Linked DNA regions of Danio rerio. The protein of the gene in region 1 purifies or fractionates together with the protein of each later gene. This does not show direct contact. Links are inferred from orthologs where the notes say so. Each region holds a gene or a part of one and is shown on either strand. Other genes may lie near its edges.

The links.
Region 2: the proteins of vamp4 (region 1) and vti1a purify together in Homo sapiens (affinity purification with mass spectrometry; 4 studies listed by BioGRID and IntAct, counting the BioPlex papers as one, with this or other methods). This does not show direct contact. The link is inferred for Danio rerio from reciprocal best matches to the Homo sapiens genes VAMP4 and VTI1A.
Region 3: the proteins of vamp4 (region 1) and napab purify together in Homo sapiens (affinity purification with mass spectrometry; 3 studies listed by BioGRID and IntAct, counting the BioPlex papers as one, with this or other methods). This does not show direct contact. The link is inferred for Danio rerio from reciprocal best matches to the Homo sapiens genes VAMP4 and NAPA.
Region 4: the proteins of vamp4 (region 1) and stx12l purify together in Homo sapiens (affinity purification with mass spectrometry; 3 studies listed by BioGRID and IntAct, counting the BioPlex papers as one, with this or other methods). This does not show direct contact. The link is inferred for Danio rerio from reciprocal best matches to the Homo sapiens genes VAMP4 and STX12.
Region 5: the proteins of vamp4 (region 1) and vti1b purify together in Homo sapiens (affinity purification with mass spectrometry; 4 studies listed by BioGRID and IntAct, counting the BioPlex papers as one, with this or other methods). This does not show direct contact. The link is inferred for Danio rerio from reciprocal best matches to the Homo sapiens genes VAMP4 and VTI1B.

What each region holds. Positions count from the first base shown.
Region 1 is NC_133195.1:16,222,326-16,226,461, forward strand, and holds the start of vamp4 (vesicle-associated membrane protein 4), read left to right. Parts: upstream 1-1,321; 5' UTR 1,322-1,445; intron 1,446-4,136. UniProt on the Homo sapiens protein: Involved in the pathway that functions to remove an inhibitor (probably synaptotagmin-4) of calcium-triggered exocytosis during the maturation of secretory granules.
Region 2 is NC_133187.1:33,314,102-33,318,181, reverse strand, and holds the start of vti1a (vesicle transport through interaction with t-SNAREs homolog 1A), read left to right. Parts: upstream 1-1,279; 5' UTR 1,280-1,380; coding exon 1,381-1,474; intron 1,475-4,080. UniProt on the Homo sapiens protein: V-SNARE that mediates vesicle transport pathways through interactions with t-SNAREs on the target membrane. These interactions are proposed to mediate aspects of the specificity of vesicle trafficking and to promote fusion of the lipid bilayers.
Region 3 is NC_133193.1:47,646,274-47,649,789, forward strand, and holds part of napab (N-ethylmaleimide-sensitive factor attachment protein, alpha b), read left to right. Parts: intron 1-425; coding exon 426-530; intron 531-623; coding exon 624-692; intron 693-3,516. UniProt on the Homo sapiens protein: Required for vesicular transport between the endoplasmic reticulum and the Golgi apparatus. Together with GNA12 promotes CDH5 localization to plasma membrane.
Region 4 is NC_133191.1:7,967,134-7,970,649, forward strand, and holds part of stx12l (syntaxin-12), read left to right. Parts: intron 1-2,185; coding exon 2,186-2,282; intron 2,283-2,480; coding exon 2,481-2,553; intron 2,554-2,657; coding exon 2,658-2,740; intron 2,741-3,516. UniProt on the Homo sapiens protein: SNARE promoting fusion of transport vesicles with target membranes. Together with SNARE STX6, promotes movement of vesicles from endosomes to the cell membrane, and may therefore function in the endocytic recycling pathway.
Region 5 is NC_133188.1:36,491,379-36,495,491, reverse strand, and holds the start of vti1b (vesicle transport through interaction with t-SNAREs homolog 1B), read left to right. Parts: upstream 1-1,308; 5' UTR 1,309-1,442; coding exon 1,443-1,539; intron 1,540-4,113. Other genes in the region: rdh12 (retinol dehydrogenase 12), read right to left, coding at 411-490. UniProt on the Homo sapiens protein: V-SNARE that mediates vesicle transport pathways through interactions with t-SNAREs on the target membrane. These interactions are proposed to mediate aspects of the specificity of vesicle trafficking and to promote fusion of the lipid bilayers.

The DNA.
Region 1 (4,136 bases):
AGTTGTAGAAGAACAAGTTCATCAGATGCTGGATTCGAACTGGTTTCATGATGATCAATCACGTCAAAACATGTTGCCAAGCGTTTTACTTAGCAGCTTACTTACTTAGCAGTTAGCAGCCTTTACTTTTGTTGTCAGTGTTATATCTTCTGCAAGAAATCATATAACCATATTACTAAAACAATCAGTGACGATACTAAAGACATAATAATAATTCTCTATATTGTAATAATGAATAGAATAGAAAAAAAAACATATTATAACAATTAAACTAGTTATAAATCTTTTCAGGCGACGCAGTGGTGCAGTAGGTAGTGCTGTCGCCTCACAGCAAGAAGGTCCCTGGTTCGAGCCTCGGCTGGGTCAGTTGGCATTTCTGTGTGGAGTTTGCATGTTCTTCCTGCTTTCGTGTGGGTTTCCTCCGGGTGCTCCGGTTTCCCCCACAAATTCAAAGACATGCAGTTCAGTTTAATTGGGTAGGCTAAATCGTCCGTAGTGTATGAGTGTGTGTGTGAATGAGTGTGTATGGATGTTTCCCAGAGATGGACTGCAGCTGGAAGCAAGTGGTGTTCGCTGCAGAGGCATTTGAGGAGAGCTGAGCTCCAGCGAGGGGGAGCTTAAGCTTGAGCTCCACCTTTTTTGCACTTCTTCTACGAGTGATGTCACTGGGGGTAGGGTTAGGGGTGGGGTTGGTGTACGCATTAAAACAGCTTACAGGAGGAGGAGCGACAGCTCATGCTCCCCCTCGCTGGAGCTCAGCTCTCCTCAAATGGCTCTGCAGTGAGCACCCTCTCGCTGGAAGGGCATCCGCTGTGTAAAACAAATGCTGGAGAGGTTGGCAGTTCATTCCGCTGTGGCGACTCCAGATTAATAAACGAACTGAGCCGAAAAGAAAATGAATGAATGAATGAATTATTTTAATCAGAAATTCTAACATATACTGTACTTTTACCATTCAAGAGCTTATATTATAAAATTGTATTTAGTTGTAGCACCGTTGTTTAAACAGGTCACTGATTTTGTTTGTCACAAAAACAACAGGTATCAATATGTTACAATCCTTAATACAGAAAATCATTGCTAATGTTAATCATTGCTAATGTCAAAAAAAACTGCAAACAATATTTAACAGACTTTGGTTTGTTGGCAAACATGAACAATGACTTATCACTCTCTTCCAGGTATAGGTTACATCACACTACCTCGAAAGATGATGTTGTAGTATTTTATCAAAAGATGATGATGTTAGTGGTGATGACGGTAATGATGATGATGCGTCTGCAGGAAACACAATTAGTCCAGCTGTTCTAGCTTCCGCTCCAGAGCCGAACGAGAGACAGCATTCAGGACTCGTCCCAGCATCCCATCACACACAGATCAGCAGGATTACAAACACACCGACGCGGTTTCTCCAGACACTAATCGACAAAAGCAGGATCTCTGAGGTACACCAGCCGGAGTAACAGCTCTCGAGGCCTGCATGGATGTGTTTGTGTAGCGGTCAGTGATGACAGAGGTGTTAGCCGTCATGCTAGCTGTCATGCCATCTGTTTTCAATTCAGTGTTTCCATTCCTCCACTAACGTTAATCGACATGCAAACACGATTATTCAATTTCACGCTTTTTCGTTTTTCCATAAAACCACGTCTTATCGTTTGCTTCGATCTCCGATTAGCATAGTGTTTACATGGTTGACTAGCATAAAGCTCTGTGTAGCAGATGCATGCCAGGAAGATTAAGTTAGCCCTGTTTTAAATTTATTTAGATATTAGCGGTAATGTACTGATTTGTTATTGCTCTAAAATGAGTATGTTTAGGAGTTGTCTGTTTCTTAATGCAAATTGTGAGCATTCTGAAAGCCAAATAGGCATTGAATCCAGATCTACACTGTACTGTTTTGACAAATGAATGAACCGTTTTGTTCCAGTCTCGTATTGTTCACTGAATGTTGAATCTATCCGTTTCAGTTTAGTTCTTCTCTTTATTCTACTCAGTGATTTTGTGATTGTCATTAGTTTAGACTGAGTTATTATTTAAACAGAAAATCAAGGCTATCTAATTTCCTGAATTATGTAAGCCCCATCATGTTTGAGGGATCTCAGTGTTTCTTTTAGCTGTTCGCTGACCTGTGCTTTTCATATAAATCATTTAGTGGCAGCGATGAAGAAAATGCTGGAATGATGCCTAACCTGTTGGTTTTGTTTATGAGCTGTTCCGTGACAACATGAAGCATGTGGAGGTTTTAATCAGTGGGGTCACTTGTTATGTCTGTAAACAGTTTGCTGTCAGCATGCTCATTGTGGATCTGGTGGTTTGTATTGACAACAGCAGGGACAGATTTCTGCTTTCAGTTTCCCTTGTTAACATTTCCAGTCCACACGATTGTCCATTCCATTGATGCATTTGCGACCCTGGATGAGAAAACCAGTATTATGTTGTTAAAGTAAATTTTTTTTTTGTCTGGTTCAGAGTTAAAAATATTTATTTCATAAACTCATGTTCCATGACAATATTTTGTATATGTCCTATATCAAAAGTAATAATGTGCATCGAAGAACTTAATTTGAGCAGTTTTAAAGTTTTCCATTATTATTTTAACTCTTCAGATTCCAGATATTCACACATACCTTTGCAAATATTGCTCTATTCTAGCAAACTATATATCAATGGAAAAGCCTATTTACATAACTTACAGATGATGTATACATTTCAGTTTTAAAAATGACACGTATAACTGGTTTTGTAGTCCAGAGTCCCATCTATTCATCAGTCAATCAGTCCATCCATCCATTCATCCGTCCGTCCATCCATCCATCCATCCATCCATCCATCCATCCATCCATCCATCCATCCATCCGTCAGTCAGTTCATCCATTCATCAATTAATCCGTTAATCCATCCATCCATCCATCCACTTGACTATTGCACATAGTTTTTTATTAAATTATTATAGTATTATAATTAATAAACAGATTTTAAAAGATTTAAATCACAAAATGAAAGTCATTTAGACCTATTTTTGTCATTCCAATTTACGGTCTCAATGAAAAAAAAAAAGTCAATTTGATTTAAGTAACCAAACAGTCTATGATTGTATCTTTATTGCAGTGCTTTAATGGTTTCTGGTGTTGTGTTACTGTATGTGTTGAGCAGTGATTCTTTTAAACTAAACTGATGCTATTAAGGCTGCACAAAATATAGTTTCTGCATTGATATTGCAATGTGCGCTTCCGCAATAGTCACAATGTTGAATCATACTTGACCACGAGCCACAGAACACATGTGATTTGTTGTCTCTCATGAGTTAAACCATAACAAAGTTTATTGATTACATGTGTTTTAAGGCCTGTAACTGTGTAATTCAGGAGAGTTTGAAATATTTCAGCACAAAAACAGGATGTTTGGAGGTGTAACAGATTAGTTGTATTTAAATATTAATACGATTTATGTAACATTTGACTTGGACTTTTTGTCTTGTTTCTAGTTCTAGTAGTAAGTTAGGCATTGGACGATATCTGTTTTCAAGGTATACCGTGGTTTAGAAAAGTCAAAGTTTTAAAACCATCACAATTTTTTGCAATATTGTTCTTAAGGTATGAGTAAAATTTTTCATTTATGTTTTTATTTATTTATTTATTTTTTTATTTTTTTTAGGAGAGCAGTATCTCCAGCAGAACAAATATCCAAAGATGCTGTTTTAAATTGTAAAAAAAAAAAAAAAAAAATCTGTTTTTAAAACAAATGAAGACAGCAGAAGTCAGTAATTTATTTAGTCTGACATGTTTACTGTTTTAAGATATTTTAAATGTTTCTCAAAATAAAATATATTGTGTTTAAAGAGGAAAAACTTTCCTTTTTTATACCTAGACATTAAAAAATATACATTTTAGACCAGTAATCACAATACCGTGATACCATGAAACCATGATATTTTTATCCAAGGTTATCATACTGTCAAAATCTTATATTGGCCCATGCCTTAGTCATTCATTCATTCATTTTCTTGTCGGCTTAGTCCCTTTATTAATCCGGGGTCGCCACAGCGGAATGAACTGCCAACTTATCCAGCAAGTTTTTACGCAGCGGATACCTTTCCAGCCGCAACCCATCTCTGGGAAACATCCACATACACTCAT
Region 2 (4,080 bases), on another chromosome or scaffold:
CAGCCGCAACCTATCACTGGGAATACTCTCATTCACAGACATACACTATGGCCAATTTAGCTTATTCATTTCACCTGTACCAAATGTCTTTGGACTTGTGGGGGAAACTGGAGCACCCAGAGAGGAAACCCAGGCCAACACGTGGAGAACATGCAAACTCCACACAGAAATGCCAACTGACCTAGCTGAGGCTCAAACCAGTGACCTTCTTGCTGTGAAGCGATCGTATTTTAATAAATTTTAACATAAATTACATTAAATTGAGGTGAATGACAACAGAACATTATTTAATTTCATGAACGTTATCTAAAACCCGAAAGTAGACACTTGCATTTAGTGTTTTCTAATATGTATATAAATTAAATTTTTTTTGTTTATTTCATTTTTAATGCCGACACCAAAACTAGACATGTCAGACACATCAATTTATGATTTACTTCACTATCTATATGCCTTCTAGAGCTAATTTGTTTAGCATTGACTGCCATTATGACAAAACTGAATCTATTGTAAACGAAAACTACAATTATAAAGTGATGAATACAATGGGTAATGTTACCTGTCAAATATTGTGCTTCAGTGGCAGCACACCTTGTTTCCAAGGCACACCCAAACTTTGTTTCTATGCTCATGTGTTGCATAATTTAGTTTATATTTTACTACTTCCACTATTTTTGGTGCAACACGCAAGGTTAAAGGTTAAAGGCAAAAGCGCACGATGTTTAAACGCCATAAAAAATAACAGTCTGCTGTCAGTCTGCATGAAGTAAATCAGTCCAGCTCAAATACTAAACAAACTTAAATCCAACCAAAAGGCGGTATAATTCAATTTTATGAGGTAAAATATTGAAGTCTTAACTGTAGAAATGACCTTATCTATAACTAGCAATCTATATGATAGCAGACCTTAACCAATGACACATGCTTCAAGGCAAAAAAACAAGGTTACTAACACATGTAAGACGTCATTTATCTTTCATTATGACCCATGTATCGTTAATTGTACTCTATACTGAAATGAAAAATTAATCGTTGACACATACTGTACCTCGACTACTGTTTCCTCGTGCGGTCAGAGTCCAAGAAAAATGACAGCGCCGCTTAATATGACCCAGTGAACGCGCTATTTAGCCAATCGTAATACTGTCAAAGCTTAAATCCGTTTTCAAAAATAACTACACGCAATTCAACGAGGAAGACCAAACAATTAATCGCACGACTCACCCCACAGCGGAACCATTGACAGGAAGAAATCGTGAACAAATTCCCGTGACACCACCCGGAAGTGACGCGGACGTCAATAAGAAGCAGACACAAGCAACAGTGTGTAACGCAGCTCAGTTTATCGCTCTTTTAATCTTTTAAAACTAAAAATACAACATGTCTTCAGATTTTGAAGCGTACGAACAGGACTTTGGGACCCTCACCGCTGAAATAACCAACAAAATCGGACGAATACCCAAATTAGCCGGTGGTAAGTGGATGTTAGATGAGCTGCTTAGCCAAAACATTGGTGTTAGAGAGACATAAACAACTCGTTTAATCATTTATTTATGCAGCTTGTGTGTGTGGTCGGTGTATTATTTAGAAATGGCCCATATCATTTGGTAAAGAAGCTATAGTTCGGGATGGTCGTGGTGTCAGATGTCCAGTATCACATGAGTCTGAGGAGACAGGATTTAGGTGACATGGGTCTTGGATGTCATCTTGTTTTTCTTAGATTTATTAATGTTATATTGGAATTAAGGGTTTTTAAATAAATAAAAAAAGATTTATTTTTATATACCAACGTAGAAAAGAATACTATCGAGTGAGACTAAACTAATTCCTTCATGGTTTTTCAGTGTTGACAATTTAATTTACTGTTTGATTTTAAGCATTGTGATTGATTGGTTTATTGTTTCCTGCATAATGAATTATACTGACATAAAATGCCATAATGCACCAGTTATAGGAGGAGATAATAAAGCAAGTTTTGATAAAAATAAAATTTGTGTACACTTAGTCAGGAGGAGTCTTTAACTTTTTTCAGGCCAGAGCCTGCGAGATGAAGTGACATATTGCAGAGGTTTTTTTATTTTTAAATGCTGTGTGGGCCACCAAAACTTTGCCCTTATCTCTATGTTATACCTATTGTTAGGGTCAGGCTATTTCCAGCTCCAATTTATCATCTAGTAGACATTTACGTTAAACACAATAGCTGGAATGTACCTGTTATAATGTTACCTGTTATACATTTAATAGCTTTGGCTTCAAAATAAATACTTGAAAAGGACTGGGTGTTAAAAACAATATGGCAGAAAAATTTAATGTAAAGTTGGTAAAACTGCTATCAAGCTATCAAATATGGGAGATGGATAATTCACCTCACAGCCACACAATCTGTATGTACATCAGGTTTATTTTTAAATCTGACTTAAGTTATATATTGTTGTTCTCATAAGAACTATTAAAGACATGCAAAAAGACATTCAAGCTAAAACCATTCTAATAGTATGCAAAGCACAACAGCCGCCTGTTTTCCCATTTATTATATTTATAGATCATGGAAATTCAGGTTTAGTAAGTAAAAATCTGGGAATTTGGCTTTCAATGGGAACCCTGATGATTTATATTGATTAAATGTTATTTTAATTTTGCATTTTAATTGATCATTTATTATTTATTAACTTGTTTGTTAGAATTATTATTATTATTATTATTAAGCCTACATTTTCATGTTTGTATATTCAAAAATGCCTAACAAGATCTCAAACTGTTACAAATGCATATTCTTAAGATGCTGCTCACCATGCACACATTTTATAGTCATATTATTTCTCATTGTTATTAATTGTAATATTTATTATTATAATATTATTCTATAATATTTATTATAATATGTTTATTGTCATCAACAGTTATTGATGTTTAATTTTTTTGTGAGAATTATGCTTAATTTTTCTTAGAGTTTTTGTTTGAAAACATTTCATGAACAGCAATTATTTGACAATATATTTTTAAATACATTTTCTTTTCTGTTTAAGGTTACTATTGATTATTGTAAGGCCTCATTTGTGAATAAATGTTTTTTATACTGCATATACGCTTTTAAAAATGAAAAAGCATCTGAAACTCTTTTTGATATTAATAATAGGGAGAAGCATTATTTGATCACCAAATCAACATGCTAGAATAACTTCTAAAGGATCATGTGACTCTAAAGAGTGGATCAACAATGCTGAAATTTCACTTTGGCCTTCACGGAAATAGGTTACATTCAAAAATATTTTAGCATAGAAAACTGCTATTTTAATGTATAAGACTGTTTTTCAATATTAGTGAATTTACTGCATTTTCCAAATAAATGGAGCCTTGGAGAGCATATCAAAGACTGAAAATTCCAAATAGATGAAATATCAATATATTACAATGTGTTTTGGTTTTGTTTATATTTTGGTTTTTTTTTTCCCCATTTTCTCTAGTCTAAACCCAATCTGGTAGTCAAACAATTAATATTGGTGTCCCTGTAGTAACTTCATGGAGCCCCTAGAGGTCATGGATTCCTGATGTTTTTCTAACTTATTTGGACATCAGATGCTGTGTGTACTGCATAATATATAATGGATGTATGTGTTCATAGACTATAGGCAATTTCAATATCAATATCAATATGTCTGCACTAAACACAACTTCATCACAAATTTCTTACACTTAGGGTTGCAAGTTATTGTAAGTTGTCATCTGCATCTGTAAACCTACTGTCAATACACCTGTTGTTGTGTTGTGGTTTTATTGCTCAAGTCAGACAAACTTGTTTCCATGAGAACAATGTTATTATGAGATACAAATGATTGCAGATAAGTCAGAGCTCATTATTTAAAAATATCATCAACCTTGTATATATTTTGACTCATCTTTTTTGTCTTTTATAAATGCATCCAAAACAATATAGCCAATGTTAAACGTTAATATTTTCCTGAGTACTTTTACTATATATTCTACTATTTTGGTTATTTTTTACATTTGTTTATTAAAACACAGCTTTTTATTTTTCCAGTCTAGTTGGAAAAAGAACAGAACCAGTTATGATTAACAGTT
Region 3 (3,516 bases), on another chromosome or scaffold:
TTTGTATTATACTCGGGGCTTCTACGCTTCTTGAAAGTGCTTGAATTTCAGACATGAATTTAAGCCCTGGAAAGTACTTAAAAACAAACGGAGACACTTAAAAGTGATAAAATAACAACATAAACTATTAATTTAAGCAATCAAAACTGAATAAATAAACAAAGAATTTATTAATTTAAAATCTTAAATTGAAATCTTGTACTAGAACTATGACAAATAATGCACATTTGAACAATATTTCACAAACTTCATGAAAGAGTGAGGACCTTGTATGCTGTTAAATATTGTTTAATATGTCACATATTATGACATGTAATAGCCAATGAAGCGTGTAAATACCCAAATATTATTACTATTACGGGGGAGGGGAAAAGGCATTTTTGAGGAAAAATGTTGACAAGCTGCTTCTTTGTTTGGGTTTCTAGGTTGCAACACATGCTATGGACAGCACTTTACTGAAATACAGCGCAAAGGACTATTTCTTTAAAGCTGCTCTCTGTCACTTCTGTGTTGACATGCTGAACGCTAAGGTATGAATCACACTGTTTAGGGCAAGCTGACATACAGCGGTTGTGTTGTTTTCAATCCCTCATTATTTTTGTCTTTGATGTCACCCCTTGCAGCTTGCCCTTCAGAAATACGAAGAAATGTTTCCAGCCTTCTCAGATTCTCGTGAATGCAAACTCATGAAGGTAAAACTAAATCTCAAGTTCAAGTGCTTGTAAATGACAAACCTTTAATTTGCCCTAAGTGTGTATTTAGGATTTTTTAGTAGTTTCTTATTCACCATTCCACAATGTAAGGCCTTAAAGGGATAAATTGAAAGTTACTCACTATTTACTCAGCCTAAACACCTTAAAAAGAAAATTATATAAAACCTTGACTTTTTCAAACTGCGAACCCATGCCTACCATAAAACAGCAGTAATATATATATATATATAATTTTTTTTTTAAATGGTTCCATTTTAAACATTTATCATAAATTATACATTGTATAATCATCATTATACTATGACTTGGCTAATTACCCGACTTCAACTGTATATAGAAAAACCCATACGCTTACTCGTATGCATCCCGGGATTAATAAATCCACTGTTTTATCAGAAAGAGTGAGATCAGTGGGTTATCTGCATATCCATGATGCAAATAGAAGTTTTTGTGTCTGTAAAGGGATCTTTATCATCCTGATGAGATTAAAAAAATAGTCAAAACATGAGTGATTAGATGACAGTACTGCTTCATTTTTACAAGTGGTCTGATCTTCACTTTCTTTGATTGTCTTTGTATTTTGGGGGGTGTTGGGGAACCAACTGGTCTGTCAGTTGAAGAAGACCCCAAAGTCAAATATTTGATCAAAGAAAGTTTACTGGAGATAGTTTGCAGTTTTATCTGCAGGAGCCAGCTTCAACACTCAGATCAACAACAATTCTACCCATCACTAACTGCGTCATACATATAGGAGTTTTAACCTGATTGGTTGAAGCACAGATAAACTTATAAAATGTCCAAATGTGTGCGTACAGTTCAGAACAATATCTTCAATGATTACATTGGCGTCAAGCCTACAAAGATCAGACACAACAGGAGGATGTTTCTCACAACTCGCGCACGCACACACACACACACACATGCATACACAAATAATACTTCTCTACTTCAAGGATGTCTTGCTCTCTAGCAGGCATCTTATCAGAATGGTACAATAAACATCTTTCCACTGATGGCTAACTAAGCATGAAGAATCTTAAAATAATTTATTCTCTAACACAGTAAAATTGACATCTAGCGACAGCTGTTCAAGTAGCATCAAACATCCAGGCCTCTTTGATGTGCCTGAAGGTCCTGAGGAAACAAATCGTTTGGCATACAGAAAAAGCAATGGCACGGATATCATACCAGTGTTACTTTTGAAGAGGGAGAACACTAATGTCATTATATAATCTAGGCCCTTAAACATTCAAATTTTATTAATAAGTGGGGTTTATTTATAAACTAACTTCGAGAGGATCACATGCTTATTATTGAACACAGCTGGTCATGCATTAGCCAATCCATGATTCACCAATCAGACATTTCTTTAGTCTCTATAAAAACCCTAAGTAACATAACACAGCCATCTTCATTTTACAGAATCCCCCCTTCCACCCCTACTCCTCCTTTCTTAGATCGGCAGCACAGTGGCCCAATAGTTGGCACTGTCGCCTCACAGCAAGAACGTCAATGGTCCTTACTTAGCCAGTCAACATTTCTGTGTGGAGTTTACATGTTCTCTCTGTGCTCCTAGATAGACATGTCATAGACATGCTCCTAGTAAGTAGTTTTTTCTTGAGAGCAATTTCATCTGTTGATTAGTTATCACAGTTTTCAAGATCTACCTGAGCTCAAACTCCCCTCTCGCCTTGCAATGGGAGGGAGCCCTGGGCTCGAGGATCTTATGAGCTTAAGGCTCTCTCTTGGGACAGCATGCCAAACATGCTTAATAATCAATCATCAGCTAAGTGTGAACTCTTGAATCATAAACAGATACAAAAGGACAGGTGTTACTCGGGGTTCTGCCGGTTTCACCAAGTTAAATTTAAGACTTTTTAAGACATTTTTAAGACCATTAAGAATGAAATTTAAGACTCAAGGGCTAAAAGTTAAGGATTTTTTTAATGGCCCAGATGGAAAAGATTTTTATTTGCCTCATCAAAAAAAAAAAAAAAAAAAAGAAATTTATAATTAAATACATTTAACAATACAATTATATATTAATAATAAAAAATATATGAAGAGTTCGGATGCAAAATCTTCTAAGTGAGTTTTTTTTCTAAAATTATTTTTTTTTTTCAGGCTTATATTGTATTAGTTGAGTAATTTCCCTTTTATGTCAATTAATATGTTATTTAGATTGCCTTTAATGCAAAATTAGTAAACATAAATATGGGAGTATCCGAAAAATGTTTCTTCTCTTGACTTGTTTGCCGTTCTGTCCTTTCACTTTAGTTAAAGCTCCAGACAAAGTGTCAGACAATTACATTCCTAAGAGAATGCATGCATCACCCTGTGTAAATTTGTAAACCTCAGCATAAAAAAGTATAGGATGCAGTAAAAAAAAAAAAAAAAACTAAAAGATCTTGTTTAGGGAATCAAATTTCCCAATATTCTGGATCGCAGCTTCGAGTTCATTTGTTAAACCCTCTGACCATGCTACTACATTTATTTATTTAGCAGATGCCTTTATCCAAAGGGACTAAAAAATAAAAAAAATTTCTTGCTAAAAACAACTTTGAGCCAAGAAAAAACAAACACTTTTATTTAATTTTATAGATTGTGATTGGTTGTCCAAAAAGATGGAGAATAAAGAGCAAGGGTCTTAAACAGTGTTTGTTTTAAGGCTGGGACACGGCAAGTTGACAGTCGGCCATTGAGTGCTGTCGGGCTGTCAGCATGTAGAATCGGCGTTGGTGGAAGAGATGGGTCAGATTGATTATTCAGCAATGAATCAGACCACGAGATTAAAACTGATAAT
Region 4 (3,516 bases), on another chromosome or scaffold:
CAAACTCACATTGTTAGCATTTAACACTGAATAAAGCACATGATTTGTACCTTAGGTGATTATTAACAGTTTTCTGTTGTTCACCTGTGAGAAATACAGTAGAAGTTGTTTCTAAAATAGAACTGTCAGGGGTTTGTTAGGACAAAAACTCATTTTAATATGGCAAATATTCTTTCTATCACGTGCCGTTGCTTTTATTTAAAACAAGATTTAAATCAGCCTTTAGGGTAGTCAGACTCGCTCCTATTGATGTCATCAAATCACAAACTGCGCTTGCGTGTGGTCATCAGAGCAGGGGCAGAGTGAAAATGTGTTTTGAACCAGGAGTGCAATCCCTAATTGAACCACTGGATGTCAAACTTACATATTCCACCTTTAGGGCTCTATTTCGACGGTCCATGCGCAGAGCGCAAAACGCAGGGCGCAAACGCTTTCAGGGCGTGTCAGGACGCGTTTTTGCTAATTTAAGGACGGGAAATCTGCCTTGCGCATGTTCTAAAAGGGTTGAGTTTATTTTCTTAATGAGTTATAGGTGTGTTTTGAGAATAAACCAATTAGAGTCTCATCTCCAATTCCCTTTAAGAGTCCGCTGCATCGCGCCAAGAGCGCATTTGCTATTTACAGGACGCAAAGTAAGTATAAGTGGAAAAAATGAGCACTTCACTAGTAAACAGTTAACAGTTTTTTAACCGAAAACTGTTAAACAGAGCATCTACTGCATGAGAATGAGAGATAATAGATCACTTTCACTGTCGCTCTTGGATAGGGAAACCTTTACGCACAGACATCAATTAGTCTATAAATAAATAATTTTGTTTGTTAAGCGCAAATATTCGTTTCAAAACTATTTCTAAATTCAGTTCTAATTTCCAGCAAACGAATAAATGAATAATAATAGCAAAATGTGCTCAAAAACCTGAGTTATATCCTCAAACACATGCTGTGCCCCATATGGTCTAAAACCTGACAGGTGGGCAAATCTAAGCTTGTTTTTAATAAAACAAATATAAATATGGATATAATAAATAATACTGCTAATAATAATAACATTATACAAAAGCAAATTGTTATGAATGAACTGAAAAAGCCTCCCGAGATAAAGAATATTTATGTAGGCTAGAAAATAATATGTTTTGTAATATTTTAATCCTTTATATTTATATTTTAAATCTATTCTTATTATATACTATATATATCCTTAATATTTAAATTTTTTCATATGTAAAGATATTTGCCTATTGCTCTCTTGTGCGTATTAAGCAGTGCGTAAGCGAGGCGCAACTCTGCACCGGAGTTTAGAACAGGTTAGTTTTGGTCTAATGAAAAATCTATTATAGTTTCTCAAATAGCAACGCGCCAGCGGTCCGCCTCAGAACGCCTTCCTTTTTAGACCAGAACGCATATGGACGCAAAAATGAGCGCTAATGCATTTGCTATTTAAACAGCGCAGCGCAACGCCTCAAAACGACTCTTGCGCCAAGCTGAAAACTACCAACAGACTACTGCGCCGCGTCTTGCGCCACACTGCGCCGGGTGTATGATAGGGCCCTTAATGTTAACTCTAATTAGCCTTCATACATTATTTGACCCTAAACTGAACCCAGGCATCCAACACCCTCATGAGCCTTTATTTTGATCAAAATAGACATCCAAAACACAGGATACAGTATGTATAATAAGTTGATTTAAAGGTCCCATTCAATGAAAAAAAAAGGTGTTAGTATAAGTATGTTAGTGGTAATGCTATCTATAAGCTAGTGTGCTCAAAAACAGTGATACAGTTTGCATGTAGTAGATACAAACATCCAAAGCTTGCAGTTTGTCACTTGGAACAACTTTTTTTAACCTTACCTCATACTTCAGTTCCTCATCAAATCTTTTAACCAATCAAATGCTCTCTACATGCCCTGCCTCCCTTCAAGATGCTTCTCATTTGCTTTTGATTTGATGCGCTTGATCTCAACCACTCTCACTGGCAGAGCTGTGATAGAACTAAACGCTATTGGCTATTTTTTTTTTTTAATAAGGAGCTACTATATGTCCCGCCCAGTCTTCATGTTTCAGAAAAATGCACAATTCAAAGCACTTCACGGAACCTTTAATGTGTATCTATTTTTTAAATGCATTAATACAATAGTAAAAGATCTGAAAGCTGAAATATTCATAGCTATTTTTATTTGAAAAGGAATGAAGGCTGGAGAATGCAGACAGAAGAGGAGCCTGTCACAGAAGAGGACCTTGAGCTTATTAAAGAAAGAGAGACCAATATCCGTCAGCTGGAGGTGAGCACACCTTACATACAAAAATCCAACATCACTAAACAACAACAATAAGAATAAGTAATGTCCTGAAGATTCATATGCATTCAAACACTTTTTTTAGTTTACTAATTTCTTACATAATTATTAAGACTATTGTGTTTATGGGAGTTGTCCGATTTTAAAGTATTATGTGCTATTTGCTTTCTGGTCTTGATTTAGTCAGACATTATGGATGTGAATCAAATCTTCAAGGACCTTGCTGTTATGATCCACGACCAGGGTGACATGATAGGTAGGTTAGTCTAGTTATTTCTAAACTGTTTTAAAAGGCATTTAAATTTCCACACAGTTATTTTGTTTTGTTGAACCCTGGTTTTGTCATGTCATGATACACAGATAGCATTGAAGCCAATGTAGAGAGTGCAGAGGTGCATGTGGAACGAGGGGCCGAACAGCTCCAGCATGCTGCATATTACCAGGTATGTTCACCATGGACATTTATATGACATTCATTTCTTTATATATACAGGGGTTGGACAATGACATTAAAACTCCTGGTTTAAGACCACAATAATTCATTAGTATTGTGAAGGGCCTCCTTTTGCAGCCTTATTCTAAAATGCGGAAGTGCGCCTGTTTTCGCGATTGTCTTAGAACTTCCGTTTCAGTCACCTATGGGAGAAATGACTAGGAATAATAAACGGCAAAAAACGGTCAAACTACTTGCTCTACAAACAAATGTTTGCATGACTATACAGACCAAGTAGAATAATATAACAAGGAAATATCAGTTTGCAACATCAAACAGCGAAACGAGCAATTTTTAATGTCTAAAAATGAATGGAAGTGAATGAGACCGGAAGTCTCGTGCCAAAAAGATTCAAATGGCAGCGCCCGCTCGTCTGCGTAGAATCAATACAGCATCAATTTGTTTTGGCAATGACTGATACAAGTCCTGCACAGTGGTTGGAGGGGATTTGAGCCATTCTTTTCGCAGAATAGCGACCTGGTCACTACTTTATGCTATTGGAGAAAATATTTCCTAACTCGCTCCTCCAAAAAACCCCAAAGTGACTCAATAATATTTAAATCTGGTGACTGTGCAGGCCATGGGAGATGTTCGACTTGCCTTTCATGTTCATCAAACCACTCTATCACCAATCCTGCTGTGTGTATTTTTGCATTACCATCTTGACAAACGGCATCGCCTTCAGGATACAATGTTTGAATCATTGGGTGCACATAGTCCCCCTGA
Region 5 (4,113 bases), on another chromosome or scaffold:
GCGGTTAGCAGAGGGGCGGGGTGGCTCCGCCTATACTGTCATTCTATTGGTCGATTTCTGGAGCAGATCATGTCAAGTGGAGGCGGGTCCGCAACGGGACAACCTTAATCAATATCCAGCGCGTTCTACATCCAAATAATAAAAGCATTGTTGATGCGTAATGTAACGTAATGTAGATTACGTAGAAATTCGAGTTCAGATGTGATCGTTTAATACCATTACAGGACCCTGCACGGGGCTGTACGCTTCAGTGGTGGCTGTGGTTTCTGCTTTAGTCTTTTACATCATGTTTTCATCCCAACTGGACACTGTGCTCGTTTCACCACAGATTGAATGTATTGCTAGTATAGTCGTTCATCATATCATAATGTCATTTTCATATCTCTCATGCTATAAACGACATGACTTACCTGATCTGAGGAGAAAGCAGCCTTAAAATCAGCGCGACGAGCCCTAAACCCGCCGCGAACGCCACGAGCGCGAGCATCATGACACTGCTGCTGCTGCTGTAACTGTACTGTACTCCAGTCTGTCTCTGTCCGTCCGAATGTGTTCAGCAGCCTCCCACTCACATCTACAGCTGTGCTCCCGGGGAATGATGGGATTGTAGTTTTCATTGTCTGCACCTGCACAAAAATGTTTCCTGAATGGTCATTAATTTGTTGCTGAAAATGATTGTAAATATTTTATTATTAAATATTATATTTGCAATAAACTACATGCTGTTTTATTGACATGTGTTGGGCCTTATTTTAATTATTGATATGTAGTAATAATGTATTTTTTCCTTCGCGTGTTTGTGTGAGAAAGTTTGCAGTATGCAACAACAAATAGAAAACAACAAAATGAATATAATTTAAAGTGAAATTGAAACTGAATAGTTTTTATCGTACAGCGTATCAAATATTATAGAGTGAATTATAGTACTATTAAGTCATTTATGTAAATGAATAGCAAATATGTAGGTAATATTTATTATGTCAGCTAAACTTTAATTGTTCGACGATTATATTTACGAAACAGATTAATTTGGGTTTTCCTAAAAATATGAACTACAACTCCCACACTGTATTTATGATGCGAGCTGTCTACATATTTGCTACGTTTAATTGAAGTCTACTTTTGTATCATTTTTCAAAAATGAAGTGCATTAAAATTTTAATTAAGCATACACATATTAATATAGAGCTGTTTTAGATGTTTAAAATTTTAAAACAGCCTTTAAGATTTTAATCTGCATTCTTGTTTGCAGGCAAAATCAAGACCGCCTATCATCACGAGGTCCAACACGGAAGCGTGAGCTGCAGTCCCGAGGATTTTGTTATTGCCCGAGAAGCTGATTTTTCCCTATTGTTTCGTACCACAACAGACTTCAAATTTTCGCTCTTTTATTCTGTTGTCATTTATTTTGTTTATTTGCTTTAGACTTCGTTTGTTCCACTATGTCTTCAGAGGAGTTTGAAAAGCTGCATGAGATGTATAAATCTCTGTATGACGAAGTGAAGTTGATGCCAGAACGGGTGCAGAAGAGCCAGGGAGGTGAATAAACTCTTTATACTGTATTATACGTTAACAAGACTGTGCGAATGAACTGCTTTCATCAGTGAATAGTCATTAACTTATTTTGAGTACTGTCATTAGAGATTTTCCAAACACTCCTGATATTGTAGCTGTGGATGAAGTATCGAGATTATGGAATTAGGCTGCTGTTCAGAAAAAAATGCTAAAATATCAACCATTAACAAACGCTTTGAAAGTGTGTGGCTATAGTTTTTTTAATCCACGGGAGTCTAGGACACGTTCATAAACTGGGTGCGAGGATTACAAATTGCTGGCTCAGTAAGAAAGACTGAGTCTAAACAAATTGCCATATACACTGCTTTGTGTCTGCAGTAAAAATGCAGTCTGCATATTTGGAAAAGACGATGTCATCTCTATCCCTAATTTGCAGAAGTGAGGTAAAGTTGGTTTTATATTTGCACATTCGTTAGTTTTTGACCAGTGGCAAATTGTGACTGTCTACTTTCAATAATGGCTGTGAGGCATGGGATTATGATTCAAAACGACATTAGCACATTTATTGACTGTGAACGACGCTGTACATTGATAGTCATTGGCTATAATATAATTTCCCTATTAAGAATTTTCAAAAATACTTTTCTGAAGTTATATTTGGAAGACTAAAGTCTCAAATGTGTGAATATAAAACAAACTTTACCTCAATATTTGCAGAGGGACATTCTAAAACGTTTAACGTGGCTTAATGTACTTGAACATCAACCAGAGAAACCCACATTTCTGTCGAGCTTTACTTGTAATTAACCCTAATGACTGTAAAATCAATGAGTCCCAATTCCCTAGATAAAATGTAAGACATCACAATAACCATTTTTCTGAAGTCTATTATAAGGAAAAAGCTTAACATGGCTAATGTACCTTAACAACAAGTGGGTAACATTTAGTTTCTCTTGGTTGTTGTTGTAAAGTCACGTTCAACCTTTTCTTATTATGGACTTCGATGGGAGGAAAACACTTAACGTGATATTGTTCACTTTATCTATGGAATTAGGGCCTGTTCTTTAGACAATAGTTAGTGTTAATCACTAGTAAAGTTTGACAAATTTGGGTTTTCCTGGTCAGTGTTAAGGTACGTTAAGCCAGGTTAAGCTGTTTCCTTATAATGGACTTTTACAGAGAGAACGTTTAGTGATATTGTTCACTTGATACAGTATACTAAAATAAAAGTTTGTTCTTTTAACAGAAGAAAGTGTTTATGAGTATATTTTTATATACATTTGATTGTCTCAATGTTATTAAGTTAAACCTCATTAAGGTCTTATAATGGATTTCAATGGGGATAAAACGTTTTAATGTCACATTGATCAATTAACTTCATCCACAGAATCAGGACTTGATCTTTTGCTAGTAGTTAAAGATAATTACAAGTGAAATTTCATAGATTTTTGGTGTGCTCTTGTTGAGGTACGTTAAGCCATGTTAAGCTCTTTCCTTTTATAATGGATTTGAAAAACGCATAACGTGATCCTTTTCACTTACTAAAATTAGAGCTCATTTTTTTGACATCAGAAAGTGTTAATCACAAGTAAAATTTGATAGAAATTAGATTTTATTTTAGAAATTAGATTTTAATTAGATGTACCTTGTTGTTAAGGTACATTAAGCTACATTAAGCTTTTTCCTTACAATAGACTACAGAAAAACGCGTAATGTGATGTTTTACACTTTATCTAGGGCAGTAGTTCTCAAACTGTGGTACGTGTATGCAGGCTTCCTTCTAGTGGTACACGGAGGAATCGCTGAATAATTAAAGTAAAAATGAGCACACTTTTAACCCTTTGACGCGTACGATAACGCCGATGTGATCAGTAAATTGATTTTAATAGGATAAACCTTTCATTTTATTTTCAATTTTCTAATGTTTGTTATGTATTCTATCATTTAAAGCTAATTTCCTCTCCATATTTGTAACAGTTGTAGGGGCTTATCCCATATTTTTATATCCCAATGTTCACAGGTATAGTTTAATCACTTGCTTTACTGACACACATAACCTACTCTAACGTGCAGTGGGCAAACTCATTTTTTATTTAAATATGCAAATCCAATTCATATATCTAAAATACAAGTTAACATTTAGATTTCAAAGATTTACAAAGTCATATATACATGCATCATATATTTCAAAATTTAGGATACTTTATGATAATACTTTACATTTAGGTACAGCAGTTTTCTCTTTACTTTTTAAAAACAGTGCCGTTTTTGATTAGCTTTTGAACGCACAGTTCAACAGCACAGTGTTAATGTTCAAACTACTTATGATGTTTAATATGGCTGAAAATAACAAATATTCATAATAATAATCAGAATTAATCTGCCACGCTTTTGAATTGTGCAGTGCTGTAGCTGCTTAATTAGGCCTACTACACTACTGTATTTCAATACTGGTCATTATGGTGGTACTTGGGAAGAATTTTTAATTGAGGTGGTACTTGGTGAAAAAAGTCTAAGAACCACTGATCTAGGGAATTGGGGCTCGTTCTTTTACAGTCATTAGGGTTTATTACAAGTACAATTTGACAGAAATTTGGG